3 linked regions of the Drosophila melanogaster genome follow. The protein of the gene in region 2 interacts with the protein of the main gene of each other region in a pairwise test. Each region holds a gene or a part of one and is shown on either strand. Other genes may lie near its edges.

Region 1 (9,432 bases), on a different chromosome or scaffold from region 2:
CGGCCCCTTTTAAAATTTGTTTACAAGCTTTGTATACATTCAATCATTTTGCAACACCAGAAACTAGCTGATTCGACATAAACACACAATCACAAAAGACGCGCAATTTTTATGATCCGGATTAAATTCTTGTTTTAAATATGGGCCTTGGAAGCGGTGACAGGGTAAATGAAACCGACCACTTCAGCTTTCCCGCAAGCTGGCAGGACAACGGTAGAATGCAGGTGCAGTTCGCCATGTTTCGATCGAGGCATCTGGATGCGGAGGGCTACGACGCAAAAATGAATTTCTGGATGGATTTAATTGCAAAATATCTAAAGTTCAGCGGACGACCAATCTTCAGCCTGCGGGATCTGCAACTGCTGTTCATGAGGGGTGACCAACTGCCCGCCTGCCTGGACACCGTGATATCCGAGATGCAGCAGAGGAAGCAGATCCGCTCTCGCAGTGAATTTGAGTACGATCCGGCCAATTCCTGGGGTGGTTGGCTCGTCAACAGCCTGGTAAAGCGCCCCCTTTCATGGAGCTGGTCGAAAATCAAGCACAGCGTGGTGACGGAGGACCTGGAAGCCTCCGCTTTAATTGAATGGATTCACCTAGATGCCTTAAACGTATGTGATATCATCCAATGATTATAGGAATCCTACATAATTAACTTTCCAGAACACTTGCGATCTCATCGCCGAAAAAGTCCTGTCGGAAAACACTGGAAAACTACTGCACTTTAATGCTTTGAAAACGCTTTGTAAGACTCACGGAGTTCCCACTTACTCAGACAAAGATCTATGCGCTTGCCTGTTGGCCTTAAATGTTCGTCAAATCTTGGGCCTAGAATTTAAAGTAGAAAAAGGCATACGCCAAATTCACTTGATCAAAATACCAAGCAAGTTTAAAAGGTTCTCAAGTAGTTAGTATGTATTATTAAACTATAATTTTTGTTATAGAAAAACCTGGCGACGATCTTAATATAAGCCAAGAAGACCAGGCCGTCCACAATCTTCAGAATACCCAAGCTCAGTTACTCAAGCAGTTGGAGGACCTAGAGGAGGAGATCAAGGTGAACGATGACAAAGTGCGCCAGTACATGAAGGAGAACAAACGGCAAATGGCAAAAACCTATCTACGAAAAAGGCATCTCCTGGAAAAGAATCATGGTAATCTTTATTGTAGACACCCCTTATCTGGCTTTTGTGAATAATGTTCTTTGAAAATTCTCTAATTAGAACGTCGCAGTCTTGCCCTGCACAACATCGAATCTCTTCTGTCCAGTGTGGATGAGGCCCAGAACAGTGGCGTTGTTCTGGATGCCTACAAGATCGGATCAAATACCTTGAAGAAGGTTCTCTCGAATTCTGGATTGAAGTACGACAATGTCGACGAAGTATTGGCCGATGTGCGGGACACGCTCGACCAGCATCGGGAAGTTCAGGACATAATGTCCAATAGCGTTGTGGAGAACGCGAGCCAGGAAGATGATCAACTTGAGCAGGAATTGCGTGAACTGGCTGGAGAATCTGCGCCGGCTACGTTTAGTCCACATATTAATAACAACCTAAGGGCGGAGGTTGTGATTACGGACGAGGAGATGATTGCCATGCTGCAGGATCTTGAGGTGGAGGATGGTACTGTATCGCAATCCAGTGTAAAATCCGTGAAAACTGCGATATAAATGTTGTGTTTTTTTAAATGGCATGTGAACTGTTATAATTCTAAATTTATTACATTGTAAAATGCGTTTTTATTACAAGGAAGAAACGTGAGATTTGTTCGTAATTGCTTTTTTATTCTATCATTCTGTACAAAATGCGTCCTTATCGTAGAGAATTGCTTAGAGCTATGGCTAGACAAATGTTTCCGTAAGTAGGAATTCAAAAATATACATACATACATGTCTTAGGTAAAGGTACAAATATATGGATATACACATGTCTGCGTCCTTCGGCTGTCCACATTCCATGGGAGGGATCGTGCAGAACAAGTTGAGTGTACACCGATATATCGTAAGGCAATACAGCGAAATGCTTCGCAGCGCCGAGGTGCATGTGCATACATACTCGTCTATGCTTTGCGTTTTATATAGGCGTATAAATATAAGAAATCCGAAGCACTCTGCAGTATGCTCCCTTGTTCTGGGTCGAGCTACGTTGGACTTATTAATCGTTAATCACTAAGGCAAATTTGCGCTCTATATATTGCGTAATGTCAAAAGCAGACGCGCCACGCCCCCTCCATTTCCAACCCTTATCTCCCCGACCACTCTAAATCGTGCCCTTGAGGTTTGTTATGTATGGATTTGGAAAAGTATCAAAATACTTAAAATCGTACAGATAAAACAGATCAGGACCGGCAGGATCACAATGAAGCGCAGTGATCTGGAATCAAAGTATCGAAGTAAATCATAAATATCGAAGAATCCTTACTTTGACATTAATATCAACACACCTTCCTTGCCCTAGGGCTGGGTGTCAGAGATTCAGGTCCATGTCCGCCTCCAGATCAATGTGGTTGAGCGAGTTGCCGGCGCTGTTGAAGATCTGATTATCTGCGTTGCTGTTATCCGTGGTTCCACTCACATCAGCGCTTCGCTTCGATTTACCTAACAGCCAGCAAGAGAATACTTTGACCAAATTTCGGACATTAATATTATGATGATGGCGTTGTCGTTGTAAATGAGCAAGGAAATCAACAGGAAAGGAAAACAATAACGAGACACCTAGCTACGAATACAAACCGCCGTCATGATACATACATTGTCCTCTAAAGCTAGCTGAAACTAAAACCTGAGCTGATCCTCCGACTGGAGTATTGGACTGGGATGTTAAGTGTGGTGGGATGTGGAGCAGATAGTTCCGTAAATGTAGCAACACTTACCGCCCGTAAAGCACAGACAGCCCTCGTCATCGCTAGGCGATTCCCGCCTCGAAGTCTTTAGCTTAAGCTCCTTGTTCAGCTCGTTCAGGCATCGCTGATAGTAATCATAGTCTTTCAGATACCAGACTGGAGGCCATCGGTGCTCGCGCAAGTACTCCTGATTATCCTGGTGTAGCGCCTTTAGGCCCTTGAGTGAAAACTTACAAATAAGGTTGTAATTGACGCACAGGTATGACATGCACCACTCGGCCAATTGATGTGCGTTGTGCAGCTGAAAAAAAAAGAAAAGTATTGAATTTCGGTATATCATTTTTAACTGATCTCTCTATGTGTACCTTCACTGGCTCGAGCAGCTTTAGACAGTGATCCACCGTTTCATTGGTTTCGTTCTGAGAAATCAGAGTGAGATCTTCAATAACGCGGCATTCAACCAGGTTGAGCAGCCGCGGCAGGCAGAGTCTATTGGCCAGCTCCAGCAGATTGAGGCACTTGACGGCCGAGATTGGCGGAATCTGGTCTGTGTACAAATAGCACAGCAGCTTGTGGAATGTGTAAATGGTAACGCCAGGGAATACGATCTAAGGTAAAGGAAATTTATGACAACTGTCCTTAGTTAAGGGGTATTGTGCCCGTTCCTACCACATTGGAATGAGCCTCGCGAAAGTCGCCTAACAACATTGCGCGCATGACATCACAACGACCAACCAACACAGCGCGGTGTGCCTGCAATGCAGCAAAGGTAAGTGTAAACGATTGTGCTTCATATAGTAATTCAACAGACATATGTATGTACCTTCATTAAGCCATCGTCCAATTCAAAGGTGACATCACTGAAGCACCCGTCACCAATGCAATGCCGTTCCATGCTTTCTTTGATGCGCTAATGTATGTAACAGAAAATGGTTAGGATCATAAAATAGATATCATGACATCAATGCGCTCACCAGGCAAATGTGCGGATTTGGCTCATCGCTGGAGTTCTCCATAACGGTTTGAGGCCTGGAAAGTAGCTGAGTCAGTTGCGGCAGTTCTAATAGATCGGCAGCTTCTCGAATTTCCTGTGAGAATTAACAATATATTAGTAGGTCAAACTTAACACAGAATACATTGAAACATTTCCTACCTCGATATTATCGCAATCCTTGTCAATGGTACCGGTATAAATAAATCTCAGGCACTGGTGCAGAGCTTGCGGAGAGATAAGTTTGCTAAGGGTGACAATCGTCTGCAGACCATTTACACCCCGATGGTTTTCCACGTGCACCAGGCGAATGCTCTGCAGGACCGGATGATGCAGCTCCCTGTACAAATCGTTGGACCGCTTAGACTCCATGAGAGGCAACGCCTGGTAGCTGGAGCGGCGCTTCAAGTGTTCCCACATTCTGTGGGTGCAAAATGTATTCAAAGTCAAATGGGCTCAATGCAATCGGGAGGCAGCACCCACCGTTGTGTGCGTGATTCGTAGCGGATCAGGGCCTCCGTGTCATCGTTAAAGTCCGCAATGGTGGCCTCCCCGAATGTTGAGCTGACCATGCTAGATTCGCTGCTGCTCCGCCCGCCCATATCAGTCAGCTCAGTGCTAAGCAGGCGCTGGAAGATGCTGGACGCGGCGGCTAGCATGAACCTGTGCACGGCGAACTTGGTGCCACCCGCCCCGACCAGGACGAGGTCGGTGTAGGCCTGCGACAGGAACATGTTGTAGATGTCCTGCCGATAGTTGCCGACCATGACGGTGACCTCCGGTGGTGGTGGCTTCGGTGGCCGGAACGGCGCCTGCAGCAGGGGCTTCTGCACCTTCTTCAGGTTTGTCATCCAGAAGCGCTGCTGTCGGCGTGCAATCAACGCGGATCGGATGGCGTTTTCAAACACCTCGTTCACCCCAAAGTATGTGAAAACACTGGTCTCGTAGTACGCCACTCCTAGCTCTTTGGCGACGGCACGCGCCTCATCCGGCATAACCAGGTCACTCTTCAACGCGGCTCTTTAAAAAAAGATTATAGTAATGATTGCCTTTAATTTAATCCAATTAAATAGAATATCTCTGAACATATAAACAGATTAATTTGCTATAGTGGGCTAAACATTGAATTATATCTTTCGTGTGTTCTAAATATAATTAAATTATGGTGAATAATTGAATTGATTTGATTAAAGAACAACATTAAAAAGTGAAAGCCACTCAAAACCGGCTGAAACCTGCTAGCTATGCATACCGAACAAAGGTTCCCTTCTCGCCGAAATACGAGAGATAGTTCTCGTCGCGATACATGTAGCGCAGGTCGTTCTTGCAGCCAACTAGAATGACGGGAACATCCGGACAAAAGCGGCGAATTTCCGGATACCACATCATCTTGCAGTTGCGCAGGGAAATCGGACTGGCAATGGAAAAGCACAGCAGCACCACATCGGATCTGTAGGTCAAGAAGGCATCTTATTGATTCGTATGGCGAAAATGCTGCTACATGAGCTCTACACACCTGCCGTATGCGAAGCGCCGATCCTTGTCGTGGTCACCAAATGTGTCCCATAGGCGAAGTGAGACATTCACTCCATCGACCACCTCCCATGATCGCTCGAGTACCTTTAATGTATATGGATTCGGTTAAATGCAATAACTATGACTCTTGAGAGAATGGTAACCCACATCCTTATATATGCGATACTGGTCAATGGCCCACACGGTCGGCACGTGCGTAGAGAGGAGCTGAGATAGCGAGACGTGTTTGTTGCAGGCCCTCGCGCAGATCAGTCGCGTCTTGCCCACGGCCGTGTCCCCCACCAGGACGCACTTCACTAGCTCTTGATGCGGCTGCTCGTTGTCCATTTTGGGCATGCACAAATAGCAGAACCAGCTTATGGAATCTGAAATGAAAATAGTATTGGATTTTTGTGTGATTTAATAAAATGTGGTCTCTCCTGAGGAAAACATACATAAATGAAAATATTGAAAATAAAATAAACTGCTGACACCCCTTCTAATATAAATAAGTGAACTACGTAGAATAGCTGCCTTAATGTTTTTCAGTTCTGATAAGCAGATGCTAAATTCTCGACTAACAATCGACCTGCTAATTACTAAGTTACACAAAGTGTCGTCTGCATTAACGTTTTGTGTGAAGGCAAAATGGTTTCATCACGTGATTAATTTGATTTTAATCTAGATACCTAAGTGCTTCCCAAAATAGAAATACATAGTTTGAAATAATCTACGCACTGGGAAAATTCACTTCTACGTTCAGTTATACGTAAAGCCAGAATAACTGATCTACGCCAATAGGCAATTTTGTTTGTTTACTCGCTGCGCACTGTGAAAATAACTATAGTGAAATCAGATACCAGCTTCGTATCATTTACTTAGAAATCTATTGGATCCCGCAAACGGAGGCTATAAAACCAGCCAATTCATTGACCCCCACTTGATCCACTTGTCGCGGAGGAAGTTGGAGTAAGTACCTCGGATACGGAGCGATAAGCTCGCTCTCTCTCTTTGAACCTCTAATTGAACTTAATTGGGCTGCACTAAAAATATATCTGCCTTCAATCCTCCGGTCGCAATGAGCACACTTCTTCCTGCGTGGCCCACGCTTCATGGCAATCCATTGTCCGATCTTCTCGACGAGCTGCAGTCTGTCTATTTTGGGACGCGCTTTAAACCCAAAACAATAACCATGCAATTGAAAGTACTTCAAGTGGTCGCCAGAAGCGATCGTTGTTCTCCACAGGAAAGTCTTTTGTTCGTGCGAAGACTTTAAGTTACTGTCAATATTGTGGATCGTTGACCTCTGGAATACATGGCAATCGGTTCCACTTTTGCTTTGATTTTCTATAATTTATGTGTTCAATCTATTTAGAGCCATTTGAATTGACTTTATGAAGGTTAAAGAGGGAAGAATATTCTTCAAATATTGAAAAATTAATGTCTGATATAACTACTATAAAATACCGTTTTTATTTTTATTATTTCCTTGTAGAAATATTTTTAAAATATATTATTTAAGTGCCCAGTCTTAAGCAAAGTGAAGCAAAAACAAAGAAACAAAGAAAGAAGACGTTGTGAAGGTAAACAACTGTTAGTTTTTGAAGATATCAGGTATTTTGAAAATGGAAAGATCGTATTTTTTAGTTTTTAAAAGGTATGTTCTTAGTTTTCATTGTAAAATATTTGCACCAACCATAATCTTGGGAAATAAAAACAAAGTTTATTTAGGGACTGGTTCCAATTTATTTCTCATGCGAGGTGTGAACCTGTGGTTTAATTAGACATTTTGATTCGCGAGAATTCGCAGAACACGCCAGCATATTAGCATTATTAACAAACTCTGCGCTGTTTTGCCATGTCTGGGAAGTCTCCTTTCTTCAATTTTGCCAGCTTATTGATTTTCTCGTGCCATTGCAAAACGGCCACAAATACCGTTACCAAACCACACACACATTCAGACTCGCACACAAGGAGGCACAGAAGGGACTTTTAGGAGGGGATCTTGAAGTTCGGACTCGACATTCCGGCAAACTTGACCCATTTAGGGGAGAAAAATCGTTGAACACTTGCACTTTTTCTCGAGGAAAACGCATGTTGGTGGGTAAACAATTAAAACCTGATTAGAACCTAATTCTTCGACTGCTGGCCGAAGGGGAGAGCACAGAATTCCCGAACTCATAAATCTCCGCGGACGTAGCACTGCAGCACTCACCTCTGAAAACGCCTGATCCCACGGATTGCACGAATTGCACGGATTTGCCTCAATGTTCTTACTTTTGCGTATTGCACTTATCAACACGCACACCAAAGCACGGCATTTTACAACAATTTGCATTTATTTCTGCACCCACACACCGATGGCGACGCAGTTTGTGGTTCGCAAACACGCGAAATCTTTACGGCTGGCACAAGTTTAACATCGCTGCGAGCTGGTTGCCGACGGATGGCTGCGGATGAGCCAGTGCTCGCTGACCAGGTGCACTATAAATGAAATTAAAAAATAATAAATTGCAGTTACAGCCCGCAATTCTTCTACGCGCTTTGACGGCAACCGGCCAGTGTTGGAAAACGGCGGCGGTTGGGCGCGGAGCACTGCCAGATTGACGGAGAACGGGAATTCACGGAATATTTATTTTTATAATGACTGTTATCAGGGTTGCCCAATATTTATTGTATGGTCGTTGGAAAAATTTCAAGCATTTGAAATACATTTTGAAATCGCCATCTATCCTAGGTAAGGTGAATATGCAGCTTACTTTAGTCCAAAGTTACATTAGAACTATTAAAAATCATCACTTTAAACTTATTAAGTCTTTCGTATTTGAAAATATGGCCTACCACTTTGTAAAATTTCTCCAATTGGGAATTTCAAATCTGGAACCACTCACAAAATAAACGATCTGGCAACATATTAAACTAGTTCTGCGTGCGCGGTGAGTTGGCAGCTCTGCGAACAGATGATTGTTTGCTATTTTAGTTGTTGCGAAACTAGTTAGAATTTATTTTTCGGTCCAAAAAGCGATTAAAATTGATTGAACGTGTAACCGACCGGCTTGGAAATCTACTCCTCCCACTCTAAGATTTCTTGTGCGCGCTACGTAAAGCCGGAGTAGCGTCGTCAAGAGTATTTCACAAACTCAATGTATCTTACGTGCAGAAAATCGATTTTTGCCTTAACAGCGGTTTTTGGTCGACGGTTGGCAGCAATTAAACAAATTTCCGCTAACGGGCACCACTAAATCGCATTTATTTCGCACAGGTCAAGTGCGTTGAGGGCCAGCATTTCAGTAACACATCGAACGATTGGCACGCTTATAAAACCCAAGATGACAATAGCCGAAAGCTCGCAAAAGTCCGCAACTAGGAAGCCAGACAGCATGGAGCCCATATTGAGGTAAGTGCACGTTACGCATCTTAGAGGTCGTCGAAAGGCAATGGTTCGTCGTTTATAGGCTGAACAACATTGAAAAGTCGCTGCAGGACACACGCGACTACCGCGGATTGCAACTAGAAAATGGACTAAAGGTCCTGCTCATCAGCGATCCCAACACAGATGTCTCGGCGGCAGCGCTGTCCGTGCAAGTGGGGTAAATAAGATCAAATCTTCACTCAATGTTTGTTTTTAATGAGTATACCCATGGCAGCCACATGTCTGATCCCACGAACCTGCCTGGATTGGCCCACTTTTGCGAGCACATGCTGTTCCTCGGCACCGAGAAGTATCCGCATGAGAATGGCTACACCACATACCTTTCGCAGAGCGGCGGAAGCAGCAACGCCGCCACCTATCCCCTGATGACCAAGTACCACTTTCACGTGGCGCCGGACAAGTTAGATGGAGCCTTAGATCGCTTCGCGCAGTTCTTCATAGCCCCCTTGTTCACGCCCAGTGCAACTGAGCGGGAAATCAATGCGGTATGTGAAAGCATTCATTAAAATTTCTGACAGAAATAGGACGCTGTCATTGCAGGTAAACTCTGAGCACGAGAAAAACCTGCCCAGCGATCTGTGGCGCATCAAGCAGGTGAACCGCCACCTGGCAAAGCCTGACCATGCCTACAGCAAGTTCGGCAGCGGCAACA
Region 2 (7,523 bases):
CTCGGGCATTTGACCCCCAAACTGGTTACAGGGAAAGTTTAAAATTCTCAAGCCCTGGTCTTCATATTCCTCGAGTAAATAGCGCAAACCGTTGTACTGAGATAAAGTAAGTCCGCATCTGAAGTAAAGGGTGGGCCAAGTTATTAAGAACTTTCTGTGGATCATTCTTACTTGGAGGCAATGTTGACGATAAGCAACACATGGCCGGCGAATGTATCGAGTTGCACTGGATTCCCAAACGTATCTCGAACGGTGAGAGCGTGTATCGTCAGACGCCATCGCATATCCTGCAAATCCTGTTGCAATCTGCTGCGTGTTTGTAATACTACCACCAAGGCCACTGCAACCAAAAGGCCTGGGAAAAGAAATTCTTTATCGAACATCGTCTAGCGTGCTAACTGCATTTGGGATCGCTAAGTGAAGCTGGGAAAACGCTTTAAGTGAAAATCGATTCGAGAGGCTAATTGTGCGTGAAGCGACTGTTAAAAATCGCATTTAAATGTGCGGCCCTTTCGTTTCGGTGCAGACACACACACACACATACACATGCCCCAAAAAAGTGGCAGCTAAAATTGAATTTGCCCAAAAAGAGCTAAAGTTGCATATGCTGACCCACGAAGCGAGTTGCACGTTAACTTAATGTTAAACTTTTTTTGGCCTCTGCCTGCCACACGAAATGAGAGCACAAAACACACATACACACACACACACACAGATGCACACTGAAAACAACAACAACAAAAAGTTGAACAATCGTAACGAAATAATTGAATTTTCATTTCCGTTTTATGTGTTTACTTCCGCTTCATGGACGCGGCACCATTTTCTCCAGCTTTTCCGTTTGCCCTGTCCATATGTGTGTGTGTGTGTGTGTGTGTGGGCTTGGTGATTTCGGCCTATTTGTATACAAAAGGCAGTCAATTTCTGCCAGCTTGAGGAAACTTTTTAAGTCAATTGTCAAAAAGTTCTTAACATCTTTTCCCCAGCCACGCCCCACTTTTGTGGACTCGGTATGGCTCTGTTTCTGTTTCATTTTCGCTGCCAAAATTGAAATATAATTCGGTAAAGTTGCGCCTCTTTTCGGTTCGGCTTTTCCACTTAGACGACGTTTGGATTTGGGCCATAAATCAATGCCAGGCGAAAGGCGTTCGACTGAAATTGATTTAGAATGCGTGGAATGGGCGTAACTTCTTACGGTCGTCAGTCAAGCTTCTGCACTAAAAACAGTCCGAAATGCCAGTGCATTTTATAGTTTGGCTGCAAATCACTTTTCAAACTCTTTGACACGCAGAAAAATATGTCACACTTTCATAAAGCTAAGAAGGAAAAGGCATGATATATTTTAAAACCTATGTAAACAGAATTATATGGCATTATTAAATGCAAAAACAAGAAGACTATTTACTTTAACGATTTTTTCCCATTAGAAAAATATATCCAACTTAACTCACAGAAGAAAGCACCTTTAATAGATCACAGCTGAAATTGTGATTATCATAAAATCAGCATAGAATGATTGCCAACCGGTTTTATAGCAATAACCAGCGATTATGCTAAAAGACATCTCCGTCAGACTCGAAGTCAAATCCATCGAGCATCCAAGATGATCAACTATAGCGGTTTTGCATATTTGATGCACTTGGCATAAACTTAATAAACTTTGCCCCCAGTTACAGGTTATAAACCCGGCGCACCAAACTCGTAAAGATGGAAGCGCGTTAAAGTCACTGAGCCACAACTCGTTGTTTTATGACCAACTCGATGAACTTGCCGCTCCCCCCGTTTGCCATTTCCATCTGGTTTTGTCTAAGCATCTGCCATCATTCTGGCTTTTGTTGCACCATTTTTCACTATTAACAGTAGCCATAAAAGTAGCGTTTGCGCCAATAAAACTTTTGACATGTGGGGCAGGAGGGTTTCCTTAACGTTTTTTTTTCTTACTTCTAGCCGGGCCAGGTGTTACCTTCAACCTTTGCACCTGAGCTTCTCCAGTTGCGTCTGCTGGTCCTGCATCTCCACTTGTCATTTGCCACTGTGGCCCCAGCTACTTGCTACTTGCCACTTGCGCATTTAATTAAGTTTACGCCGCGCTGCACACGCAAAAGGACGAAGGACGTTATTAATTAAATTCCTTTATACACAGGTTAAGCCAGCCATCCCCTCCACCACCTTTCGCCTTTGTGTGTCAACAATTGGAATATTAACGAGGCAACTAATGAAAGTTTACAAAGCCGGAGTCTTTTCCGCCGAAACAAATCGAAAGGGAAACATTTAATAAAAGTCGCACTCACCGATTTTCCGCCCGAGATCAAAGCAATTGCTAGACCAGTTCCCCTAGCACCACTTGACCCACACGGCGGATGCGTGATTTTCGCTACCAATTATAGTGGATCGTCTTGGGAGCCTTTTTGCAGTGTCTGCGTGCAAATCCCGCCGCGTTGATGCACTGCGGCAAAGGTTTCGGACCCCTAATAAGCCACGACCTTAACGGACTCACACATCAAAGCAAGAGCACGCACACCCACTTACACACTGGCTTATAAGCCCCAGACACGCAGACATATGCAAAAAGGATATGTATTAACTGTACGCATTTAAGCCGCTTGTCGAACGCGCACAAATCCAGAAGGGGAAAATCGACTTTTATTCAATACACTCGAAAAATCAACTTTGGCAGATAAAAAACGAGAAGATGAAAACGAGACAGCAGGATGGACCGGAAAAACGGGGTTTTCGAGGAGTGGGGCTACAATATGCGAGTATAAATGTGCAAATCCCCAATGCAGCAACAGCTGCTGCTCAGCCACGCCCCCTTTCGACCCCCCTCCCCGCCTTCAGTGCACTCGTTTGGCATTTACATTTAAGCTGATAAGGAAAAGTGCCTGCTCCTCGGGGTCCCTTGGTTTACCGCCTCCTGCACCCCAAAATCCACCTGAGCGCCAAGTCGCCTCGAAGGGCGCACACACACACACACACACAAGCACATCGAAGACGGCGATGAGAATTGTTTGTTGAAAATGTCGCCAGTTTATGAAATCGCGTGCGTTGGCAGCAAGGAATTCACATTTGACGCACGCACTTTACATTATTAATGCCTAAAGACGAAGGCGGCAGAAACAAGTTCAAGTTTTAGGCTAAAAAAACGGGAATCGAGAAAGAAATACCCTTTTGAAAGTAACCAAAATTCATTTGATATATAACACAAAAGAAGATATAGTTGTTACATTTTGAACAAATGGGAAATTATAGTTTAAGTCAATAAGTCAATCCATGCAGATTCATAACCTATATTTCATATCTTCGATAATTCTTATATACCTTTTATATCAAAAGTTACATGGAGTAGGTGAGTAGTGCTGTGTGCGTGCTTGTGTGCGTAGAGAAGCATCGATGTTTTGGAAAATGCTCCTGCCATTTCGCAAATGTATCGCATTTCCGTTTGGGTGTTTGCACTTTTACGCTTCGCTGAGAATTTTCCAATTTTTGCTGCTAATATTTATTAATCAAGTAATAGCTACTCACACGCAGGCACACACTACGTGTATGAACACTTGAGCTTGTGCCTGTGTGTGAGTGTGAGGTCGCTTGATTTTTGCACGAAAAATTGATTGGAAATTTATAAGCTAAACTTTTTCCACTGTTTGCTTTTGTTTGCGGCCCACGAAACAAACTTTTTTGGTGTGCGCGGTTGTGTTTTGTTACTTTTTTTTTTGTTTTTGTACCATTGCTGCCATTTGCAGCACTTGAAAAGGTCGCCACAAATGGAAGTGAGTGTGTGTGGAAAATCCCCATCAGAAAAATATTGAAATTCGATTTTTTTTTTCGTACTCTCAGTAACCTTTTACCAGGTCCCCAGCTGTCTGTCAAAGCCTCGCCATGAGGCAGGAAGCATTTCGAATTATTTTCAGTACAAACTTTGTGCCGAGCACACCTAGAACCCACTCCAATCAAATAAAGTAAGTTCAAATTGTAACTATTCTGGTGGAAAAAAATCTACAATAAATATTCAACTCTGAGAATATTTGTGGTCACTTTTCACTTTTTCAACTCAACTGTCTTCCACAGCGCTGCCTATCATGCAATACAAGATGAACTACTTGCTGATCCTTGGGTGTAAGTATACGTTAGTTTTCAGTACCATCTAGCATGCAATTATTTATAATTAATTGCGTGTATTTCAAACGCATCCATTGTTTTGCTTAAGGTGTCCTCATGTTGATGCGGCCGATGTACGGCGATTGTCTGCGCATGAAGCGTTCTCAAGGCGATACTGCAAGTGATTATAATGAAACCACTACAATGGACAATACTGCTTCACTGAGCGGAAAAGCCACCGTGTTGGCCAATAGTACCATTACCACCGCTAACATGACTGAAGCCGCCACATCTCCGGAGCAGAAGATTACTGCTGGACCGGTGCGCAGTATGGGAGTTCGTGGAAAAACCACTAGCTCCACAACCACCACCGCATTATCATCATCACTTGCTGCTGTGGCATCCACATCCTCGCCTCCGGATGCCGGAAAATTTCAGCTAGTGGAGGATCTGCTGGGACTGCGCCGTCCCAAGAGGCGTTTGGGTAGCCTGATGGACGACAGTCTGCAGCCACGACAATTGCACCACAAGCGTCGCCCAGCGGTGGAAGCTGCTGCTATGGCCACCTCATTGCCACCCAACCCTAATCCCAATCTTAATCCCAATCCCAATCCCAATTCCAATCCCTACGTGTACTACAACAAGCTGGTTTCGCCAGATGGCAAGCACGAGATAAAGGAGTTCGAGCTGCTGGCGCCCAACATGATGATTGAGAGTGTGCAGCAGGAGCTGAACTACGGTCCGGAAGTTCTGCCACCGGAATTGGCCGGAGTGCTACTGCTGAATGCAGCCGAGAACACTCCACGCGGACTTCATAATGCAGCACCACTGAAGCACCATCGCAAGCATAAATCCTCGCCGGCTGTGCCACCGATGCTCTACATGCTGCAACAGCTGTTGCAGCCCAATTTCGAGGGAAATCTCTTGCTGGAACCACCAAAGGAGCCACAGCGTCACGTTAGTTCACCCCTCTATCAATTCCTTGATGGCGCCATGGATCTGGCTTTGCGCAACAATCCCGATGTCATCGATCACCTGCTGGGCGATCACCTAGAATTGGAGCTGGAGATGGAAAAAAAGAAGGGCATCAAGGATAAGGCACTAACGAAGAAGGCCAAGAAGGAGGCACAGAAGATGGAACCCAAGGAGGAGCTCATCGTCAGCTGTCCCATTCACCATGAGCACCATGCCAATCGTAATGGCGACGTGGTCGAAGATGATGTCGTTTTGGTGAACGAGTGCCATCTAGTGTGAACCTGAAACGGGCAGCTGTCACAATGTTTCTTAAAAATTTTAGGTTACTTGTTTTTCCGCATTCTTTTTTTTATTTTTTGTTGCTTCAACTGGAAGATGTTTATATTTCTTGCATATGTAAGGAGTGGCGAGACCATTTTTACTTTGTATACAAAAAACAGACAATAAAAACTAAATACACATCATAATAACTATGTTCAGCGGAAGAATATAAAAAATCAAGCTCGAAAGTTGCAATATAATCCTTCGGGAATGCCATCATCGAGCAGAATGGCCATTGTTCCGCCCGTAACAAATATCAAACTTACGCTCCAATCGACACCCGATCCCCTGGGTGGCCTTCTCCTTGAAGTTCTCCTTCGTTTTCATTAACAAAATCGATTTCCTACCTTGAAATGTCCTGAGGGGAGAGGTGGATGAGCGGGAAAATTGATATGCCGAGTGCGACAGTGCAGCCAAACGAGCAAACAAATCTAACATACAAACCCTTGACTGCGGATGAGAATATATCCTCCATTTATAGCAATACATGTGTGTGTGTGTATGGGTGTAGGGGTGGGACATAGCGAACGGAGCCGAAAGGCAAAAGTTTTGCCGGCTGCCACTGCTAAATGCTGCTAATTTCGTATACAATAAAACTAATGTAAATTGCCACTTGACGTTCACTGGGCGTGTAAGTGTGTGCCATAGTATGTGCAAGTGTACTGGCTGCACATACATAGACATTAAATGGGGCACATAATGTGCCGGGAGTCAGGAATCGAGAATCAGAATTCAGGCTTCAGGACTGGGAACACCAGGGAAAGGCAAGCCATTGAAATAGCGAGTGTCATGGGTGCCTGGCCATCAGCATAAATACAAATTTGCTTCACAAATCCACGTATATAATCTATATAAACTGCACTAGATGCCAGCAGTACATCTACATGTGCCAAGCGGAAAAGTGCAACGCAGCATTCGTAAAATTGCGTAGCTCCTTCGACTTCAAGATACATTTGGAAAAATAGAAAGAATGGAATAAGATTGCACAATAATTATATTTGGAGAGTGGTATAAAGATTTAATTATTTAATTAAATATTTATAGTGTTTCATACGTTAACAGACATAAAAATATAATAATTAAAGGACGTACTTGCTTATTTCTAGGAATTTAACATTTATATAATAATTTCTAGTACACTCAAAAAATATCTTATATTTGTTATAGATATAAAAGTAAGGCAAACATTATTTCTCTCTCTGTGGTGGCACTGCCAATGTCCCTGGGGTGTTAACTGGAGTGTAAATGCGAATGTATGTGCAATTCCCGCTGCTAAGTGACCAGGCCCCCTCCAACATAGACCCTCGCACACATATATATTTATTTACAAGTGTAAATAATAAATGCTTGCATCAGCCATTCCGCATTCCACTCAACTCCAAGGTCCTGTCAGCACTGCAAGTGCATTAACTTTTGCCACACTTTCGTCACCAATGCCATTTTCGCTTTAAGTTGACATCTGCGTAAATAGCTTTAAGTTGCGTACAATACAAATATAAATATAAATATAAATATAAATTTCGAGAAAGGCAGGCGGCGACCACTTTCGCTAATCTCTTTGCTTTTGAAATTTATGGCTTCATTATGAGGATGACAAAGACGAGCGTTGCCAGGACATTGCCAGGACTCTTCTGTCAGTCACTCGCTCTGTCTGGCTGTCGGTCTTTCGGTGCCTTTGTTGTTAATGTTATGGTTGTCATTTGGAAGCTTGTAATTACGTTAGCCACAAGTTGTTGCCAAAAGTTGTAATCTAGATTTCATAGTCAAAAGGCGACAGGCAACAACATAAAATTCAATTGAACTGTTGAGTCAGCAAATATCAAATGAATGGCAATGGTGCCTTTAAAATGCCGTTAAAGTCATGGCCCAAGTATCAGGAATCTGCTCAGTAATATATATAAACATTTTTTGGACAACTAAGGGAAAACTTTTCGCAAATAACCAGCAAATAAATTGCTGAATATAAATTGCAAAATCAGTTTTGCTGCTTTTAAGCTCACTCTGGCATTATCAATTTTAAACGAAAAGTGTTTTACTTAACTGGTTTGGCGTTTTTAAAGTGGTTTAATGGTAATTCGATAACCATAATTTGTATGCTAATAAATACAGCAATTGCTGTTAGGTAAAATCAG
Region 3 (6,721 bases), about 14 Mb from region 2:
GAGTGCGTTCAACACATACGTTTTGATGGTCAACTAGTTCAACCAACATCAGCATCATCGTCGTCAACAAGTCGACGGTTACAATAAAGATTTTTTCCAAGTTCGCTACGATCATCTCCAGAACCTTGTTGCGAACCCATGACATGGAGAATCAGCAGCATTTACGAACTTCTCGGATCATCCAGACACGCAGAGCTGCCTTCCCTTCGATGGTTTAACGCAGTACCAGGTTGGCAGTATGGGAACTTAGTGCACAACCAATGTTACCCGTAAGATCCGCTTTCAAATAGATTTGCCAATTGTAAAAAGTCTGTGGACAGCCTTCGTCTTAGAAGGGGAGGAGTTAACACAATCACAAAACACCCGAAATATAGTCGTAAGCCTCAAGTGCTTTTCCCATCTATAGATCGAGCTTTACCTATAAGAAACTGTAACTTGTTAAGCTTTAGAGATAAGAACTCTTGCTATACTTAAGTCAGTCGATTTTGGAAGATTAGAAGCGTCGGTCATCGCCACGTACTTACTATTCGTCTCATTAAGTGCAGACCGCGCAAGCCCTATTGTAATTAATAAACTTACGCTAATAAATATATGGAAAATCTACTAAAATGATAATTTGTACATACATTTGTATGTATGTATGCACTTTTTAATCAATCGTTTTCAATACTCTCCTGTTTATCTCTTAACTTTTTCTGATCTTGGAATCCCATTAAAGTGAAGAGTTTGAAATAAACATATGTACATGTTCCAAACGCAAGATTAACTTTTCTAGCTTAGCTTTTTGTTTGATTATTCTCGCTTAAAAAGACCACAAGCAACAAAATTATTAGCTTTTTGTCTGTTGTCGTCGACTAGTTTTTCTGTTCCATTTCGTTGGGCTCCAAAGACAGCTTCATACATAGTATAAACATTTCACACAGTTAAATATTTTTGCACACATACATATATGAATTACAGACACAGTTTTAAAGTAAACCAGAAAACTGGCTCCTCAACTTAGTCTTGTTTTGTGAGTTATTTTGTGTTGTATTTGGTCCGCAATTTCTAGCCGTAATAGACTTAAAAATCAATGGGAAATCTACATACAACTATACATGCAACCATATTTAAAATAAATTTATAAATATATTTTGATAATTTTATGGTAATAAAATTACGCACATTGTTTGTAAATTTGCTTAAATATTATCTTAAGATTGATGATAAATTTGTTAATTAACTGAACTGAAAATACTTTAGAAAGACATATTTTCTGATTTTCGAAATATTTACGATATAAACAAGATATAGAGTTTGTGTAATTCACAATTTACAAAACGGTCCTAGCACCCAATATTGTTAATATAGCCTATCTATAATATGGTAATTTTTAAATAATTCACATATTACTCTATTTATTTATATTTCTCGAAAGGGGTGATATCAAAGACATCAGAATAATTATTCTAGTGTCTTTGGTGATATGGTCGTTTTTAAAAATGGATATGGATGGATATATGGAACGGTTTAGAGAAGGTAAAAGGGTATACTGCGGAAATAGAACTTGCATTTCTAAAAACTCTTTAATAGGGTTCATAAAAATGTGTCACTCTACATTGTGAGATCCATTTGAAATTATTTATACAATTTATTTTGTACGCTAGTGTAATCAATTACGTTATTTCGAAACATTTGCACTAACGGACATACATATTTATATAGTATACATACGTACATTCATATGTTTGTAGGTATGTATATATTGGGACTGTATAAATGCAATCGGAAACCAGTCCCACATTCCGTACGTGTCACATATGTATGTTACTCTGTTAGTTTGTATTCATGGAAATAGAGAGATGACTAGCATGGGTTTACCTAACAACTTTATCATATTTTCAGCAACGATAACATTACAAAAAAAATGTGTTGATTAAAAAAAGCATTTCTGTTTTGCAAGTTAAAGTTTAGTAATGTAATACCATTGTATTGTCTTTAACATTGAATAAATATGTTTGGGTGCCCGTACATACATACACAAATTTTCAGTTTGAAGTCACCTTGAATCAGTTATAATTTAAGGCTGCACCATTTAATACCCCTTGCAGACCGGTTTTAAGCTTAATAAATTTGTATTTTGATGTTGCATTCATTTCAAATAAAACATTTGTATTTATTGGTTAAGGACCACTTAGAAAAATGTTAATTAAGGAAGATACCAAATTATACTATAATTTATGTATATTCAAATCATATCTGCACATACTTGAATGATCAAAAAACGAGTACATCAACTATCAAATACCCGTTTATCCGTTAGAAAATTTCGAAATAATAACGTATGCATGTATTCCTAAAATATCACAACCAGCTTCTAGATATGTCGCGTATGTCAACAAGTCCTTTGGTCAGCTATGAGAGAGAGCGAGGCGCAAATGGATGGCGGACATTGTTCTTCAAAGTAACTTAAGAAACTTAAAGGCGCGACCACCAGCTAGGTTAATTTTTGTCGACCATACCACAAATAATTAAGAGTATTAGTAAGTGTAACGTAGGCAAATAAAGATATAAATGACAGAAAAATAATTTATAAAAAGTAAAAACCGCATTAAATATAATATATTTATATAAACATAAACTGCAAACAATGAGTTTTAATGACGTAGTCTAAGGCTAGACTTTCCCTTTCACCCTTTTCAACAAATCACAAGCCTAACTCCAAGTGTAATGCACAAAATCATTGTGATCACCTCATTTCAATCATATACAATACAATACATATACAATAAATTGAACTGGCTTTTCATTTTAGGAAGTTATGTACATGTATTTTTGAAAAAGGGTCAAAAATTCGATCACCTTCCTGAGTTTCATTTTTGACATATTATTGCTAAAATTGGATTTCAACACTTAAAACGTGTGTTTGATTAATGACATAAATCGCTAACACAGCTTCTAAAAGATGTGTAGATTAAAATTCAAAACAAAATTTCGATTGAAAGCGAAAAAACTTTTTTCAAGTGCGTTTCGGATATCTCTTTTTTTATCTGGTGTGTATTCTAAATCGAAAAGCAATGAAGCATAGATTATTTTTGTGAATTAATAAAAATTACAATCGGTTACAAAAAACTATGGAATAGTTTTTAAGAGATCATACCAAAAAATGATGGAAATGACGACCTCCGAATTGAAAACAGGAGTCAACTTTCATGACAAACGTACATAAATCTGCGAATATTATTATCCGAACATACATACATATCTGCTGATATTATTTTCCATGAAAATTGCAAAAAAAAAATTTTTAAGACTCACTCAAAATAGTTATACACTATTCTTAAAGTCTAAAAATTCTTACTTTTCTTTCTCAGCTAAAAAATTTACAAATAACTTTTACTAAATGGTCTGACAAAAGAAATCACTAGTATTTATCTAATATATCTTTATTTATGTTGGTTGTTAAATTCTTTTAGTTACATGCATATGTACATATGTAGTAAGTTAGAAACTATTAGCAAAGATCTTAATATGTTTTTTTAATGCTTTCCAATTTAAGACCGAAGTAAATAAATCCTGTTGTTTTACTTTAATCTTACAGAGTTTTCTTATTATCGGGGTTTCAACGATTTAAAAGTTTGAAGCTTGTTGAAGTGTTCGCACTTTCGTAATTTGTAGGGAGTAGCATGCTAACATCTGACAAGGTCAGCGATTCAGCAATTAAAAAGTTGAAGAAATACCATTATCAGTAAAATTAAAAAAGTATAACATTATTGCGCAAAGTAAGTGGTAGGCTAAACCAGTGTAAGCTTATGAAGGCTAAATATTTTGATTTCTTTATAAATTTGTTAACTTTAATATATATTGATGAAAAAGGCAATTTAAATAAAAAAAGTTTTAATAAATAACAAAAATAATGTCAGATACAAGCAAAATTTTGTGGTATAAGAAATATAGAAAAGAGCGATTAATATTGTAGTTTGTTTGTTTCGAAAATTTTACCTAAAGTGTAGGCAATTTTCCATTCCAGCCCGTCGTATGGGAAAATTTTAGAAAGTACGTTTATCTATCTACATTGGGTCCAATATGGCCAGTTCCCTAAATCTGTAGACTTGCACTGCTCTTTCTCCTAAACCATTCAATTTTTCTTTAGTTTGAATATTTATTCCCTTTCACTTTATTTGCACATACATATGTATTTAATTGTGTATAATTTTACTATTCTACTTCGTATGGGTTGAATAGGTAAAGACGGTATTTAAGTTTTAAAATGTTTTGATCCATATAATATATGGTTGGCCAAATAATCAACCTATAATTCTAATATATATATTCTTATGAAAACGATAACGGAAAGCAAGTGTGGCAAAACAACGTTTTGTCCTGCAAAACATTCCAATTAATTTACAGTAAAGATACCCAAAAGATCCCCCAAATCTTTGGAACACCCCTTGGAAATATAGTCATGTTTAGATGTATACGAGTATATACGTATTGCACTTAAATAATCATTTTAATGAAAGGAATATGTACTGTCGACAAATCACAAAATGATATTTCAAGACTTCTTAGGTGAAAAAAATTACCAAGATGGGATTTCCTTACCTTTCTTAGGTTGATTTTGCTGTGAGTTGGCAACACGTACTGCAAATACTTCAGGAAAATTGGAAAATGCACCCCATATCAGGAACGAAATAAAAGTTTGGTAAAATCCGTTAAGATCCATGGCTTTCATAGTTGTATGAATGGCGTATAATTTTATTTTTCACTATTCTTCTTGTATTTTTATTAATTCCTTTAAGCTATTTAACAATACTTTGGGTGGATGTTCACAACATAAGACTATATATTTTTAAAGTATGTGTACTAAGCAATAGCAACACCACCTGAATTGATTACGGCTTAATGAAGTACGAGCAACGCGTTTAAGCACCAAACTGAAGCGGTAGCTACATACGTACGACTATATAAAATGTTTAAGTAGAAAAGTTACTGCAAAACGAGCTTACGAATGAGCCAGGGAAAGGAATGGCTCAGTGAATCATGACATGGCTCAGAGAGCGCAAGAAATTGCAGCAGCCAACTTGATCACGATCTCAGAGCAAGTTGGTCGAGTCTAGAGCTGCCGCAACCTCACAAAAGCTTTACCAAAGCATAGAAAAAGAAAATGAAACGAAATATAACGGATCTTTATTGTATTGTTGTTGCCTAAATCATATGAAGGGAATGTTTTAAAGTTCAGACAAATAGATCTCAAATAAATGAATACTAAAGTGCTGTGCTGAGATTTTTGCATGTAGCTTTTACTTTTACTTATTAAAGGTTTACATATGTATAGGGCACCTTCAAAAAGTCAGCACATATATGCAAATTCTTAAACACGTTATAATATACTTGTTTAAAGTATTACTACTATTATAAACAAATGACATGTGTACAAAAATCAATTGAAAAGAATTGACGAAACTAAGAGGTATGCAACACATGACTACAAACATAAAATGCTAAATAAAATAGCGCACCGAAAGTGTAAATATAAATACATACGTAGAATATTAAAGCTAGTTAGTCGTTGGAGATGAATGCATGTTTCATTTTTTTTTATAAAAAGAATAAGAACAATTTATGATCAAATACAACAAAATTATAATTTTCTCTGTAATATTTTTAAATAATTGATACAGTGGATGCTTATCAAATAAGAACCAAAAACATATGTTATCAAAAAGTGTTTTAAAGTGAATAACGGCACTTTAAAATTATAAACAAGAAATGGAACATATTTTGTTATGTTTTGTTTTGATTATTCCAATGGTTATATCGTTTTCGTTCCGACTTCCAAAGTATATAATTAATAGGTAAGAATGTATATGTATAAAATAGAAGAGGAAGCACATAGATTTATAATTATACATAATATACGATACTAAATATATGAATATGTATGCATATGTACATACAGCTGCGGTTAAAATAATAGCACTACTGCAGATGGAAAGTTGATTTGCTAAAAAAAAATTATAAAATGTTTATTTTTTTTTAAGTCAGATTTCATGAATAATAAGTTCCATATGTTGGCTCTCTGAGCAAGAAATTTTTACTCTCTCAATGTAACGGTTCTTTTTGTTTTTGGGCACTTGCTGCAAAAGCGCGCGAAATGAGACGGTAACAAAAATAGCACTGACCACGTATTTGTTGAATAAAATTAATAGGAGTGATTTGGGATTTTTTTCGACAAATTTTGAAAAAAGGAGTTGTATTAAAGGTTTTAATTGAATTTGTTCCAAACGAAGACCAAAAATTCTCTAGTTATGGGTCGCGAAAAGCATTGTACCGTCGAAAAAAGAAATTTGATTAAAAACATGATCTCTGAATGTAAAACCTACGCTGAAATTGGTCGAATTGTCGGGTGTTCAAACAAAATGATCCACAATGCTGTTTGTCGAAAAGGACGAAACACGTGGAAGAAAGCCCTCAATGTCCAACGTGGAGATCAAGCGCTTGGTTCGGCAAAGCAAGAAGGAGCCTTTTAAGCCGGCGACGGAACTGAAGAAGGAGCTTCAGATAGCTGCAAGCGTGGAAACAGTTCGCAAACGCTTAAGACAAAACAACCTTAATGCGTGCAGTCCCAGAAAAGTCCCGCTTTTGACTGTTAAGCATGTGGCAAAGCGACTCGAATATGCCAAGATACACAAGGACTGGCCTGTGGAGAAGTGGCGCAACATTTTGTGGTCAGATGAGA

Evidence for each region. Proteins that work in one complex are often made in the same cells at the same time.
Region 1: the proteins of CG15109 (region 2) and RhoBTB interact in a two-hybrid assay, tested with the Drosophila melanogaster proteins (one large-scale study listed by BioGRID).
Region 3: the proteins of CG15109 (region 2) and stw interact in a two-hybrid assay, tested with the Drosophila melanogaster proteins (one large-scale study listed by BioGRID).

Annotation. Positions count from the first base shown.
Region 1 is NT_037436.4:20,374,732-20,384,163, reverse strand, and holds RhoBTB (Rho-related BTB domain containing), read right to left. Parts: upstream 7,923-9,432; 5' UTR 7,563-7,922; intron 6,423-7,562; exon of another isoform or gene 6,325-6,422; intron 5,734-6,324; 5' UTR 5,705-5,733; coding exon 5,516-5,704; intron 5,453-5,515; coding exon 5,349-5,452; intron 5,283-5,348; coding exon 5,085-5,282; intron 4,853-5,084; coding exon 4,316-4,852; intron 4,254-4,315; coding exon 3,995-4,253; intron 3,930-3,994; coding exon 3,816-3,929; intron 3,752-3,815; coding exon 3,665-3,751; intron 3,595-3,664; coding exon 3,511-3,594; intron 3,450-3,510; coding exon 3,207-3,449; intron 3,143-3,206; coding exon 2,872-3,142; intron 2,618-2,871; coding exon 2,466-2,617; coding exon of another isoform or gene 2,443-2,465; intron 2,373-2,442; coding exon of another isoform or gene 2,282-2,372; 3' UTR 1,766-2,281; downstream 1-1,765. Other genes in the region: CG5498 (uncharacterized protein), read left to right, coding at 141-611, 664-883, 945-1,154, 1,224-1,669; Ide (insulin degrading metalloproteinase), read left to right, coding at 8,677-8,744, 8,803-8,937, 8,995-9,265, 9,321-9,432.
Region 2 is NT_033778.4:19,055,531-19,063,053, forward strand, and holds CG15109 (uncharacterized protein), read left to right. Parts: upstream 1-3,890; 5' UTR 3,891-3,956; intron 3,957-4,065; 5' UTR 4,066-4,088; coding exon 4,089-4,113; exon of another isoform or gene 4,114-4,204; coding exon 4,205-5,349; 3' UTR 5,350-5,535; downstream 5,536-7,523. Other genes in the region: Gpxl (glutathione peroxidase-like), read right to left, coding at 1-118, 172-383.
Region 3 is NT_033778.4:5,411,945-5,418,665, reverse strand, and holds the start of stw (straw), read right to left. Parts: upstream 4,923-6,721; 5' UTR 4,715-4,922; coding exon 4,585-4,714; intron 2,571-4,584; exon of another isoform or gene 2,274-2,570; coding exon of another isoform or gene 2,249-2,273; intron 1-2,248.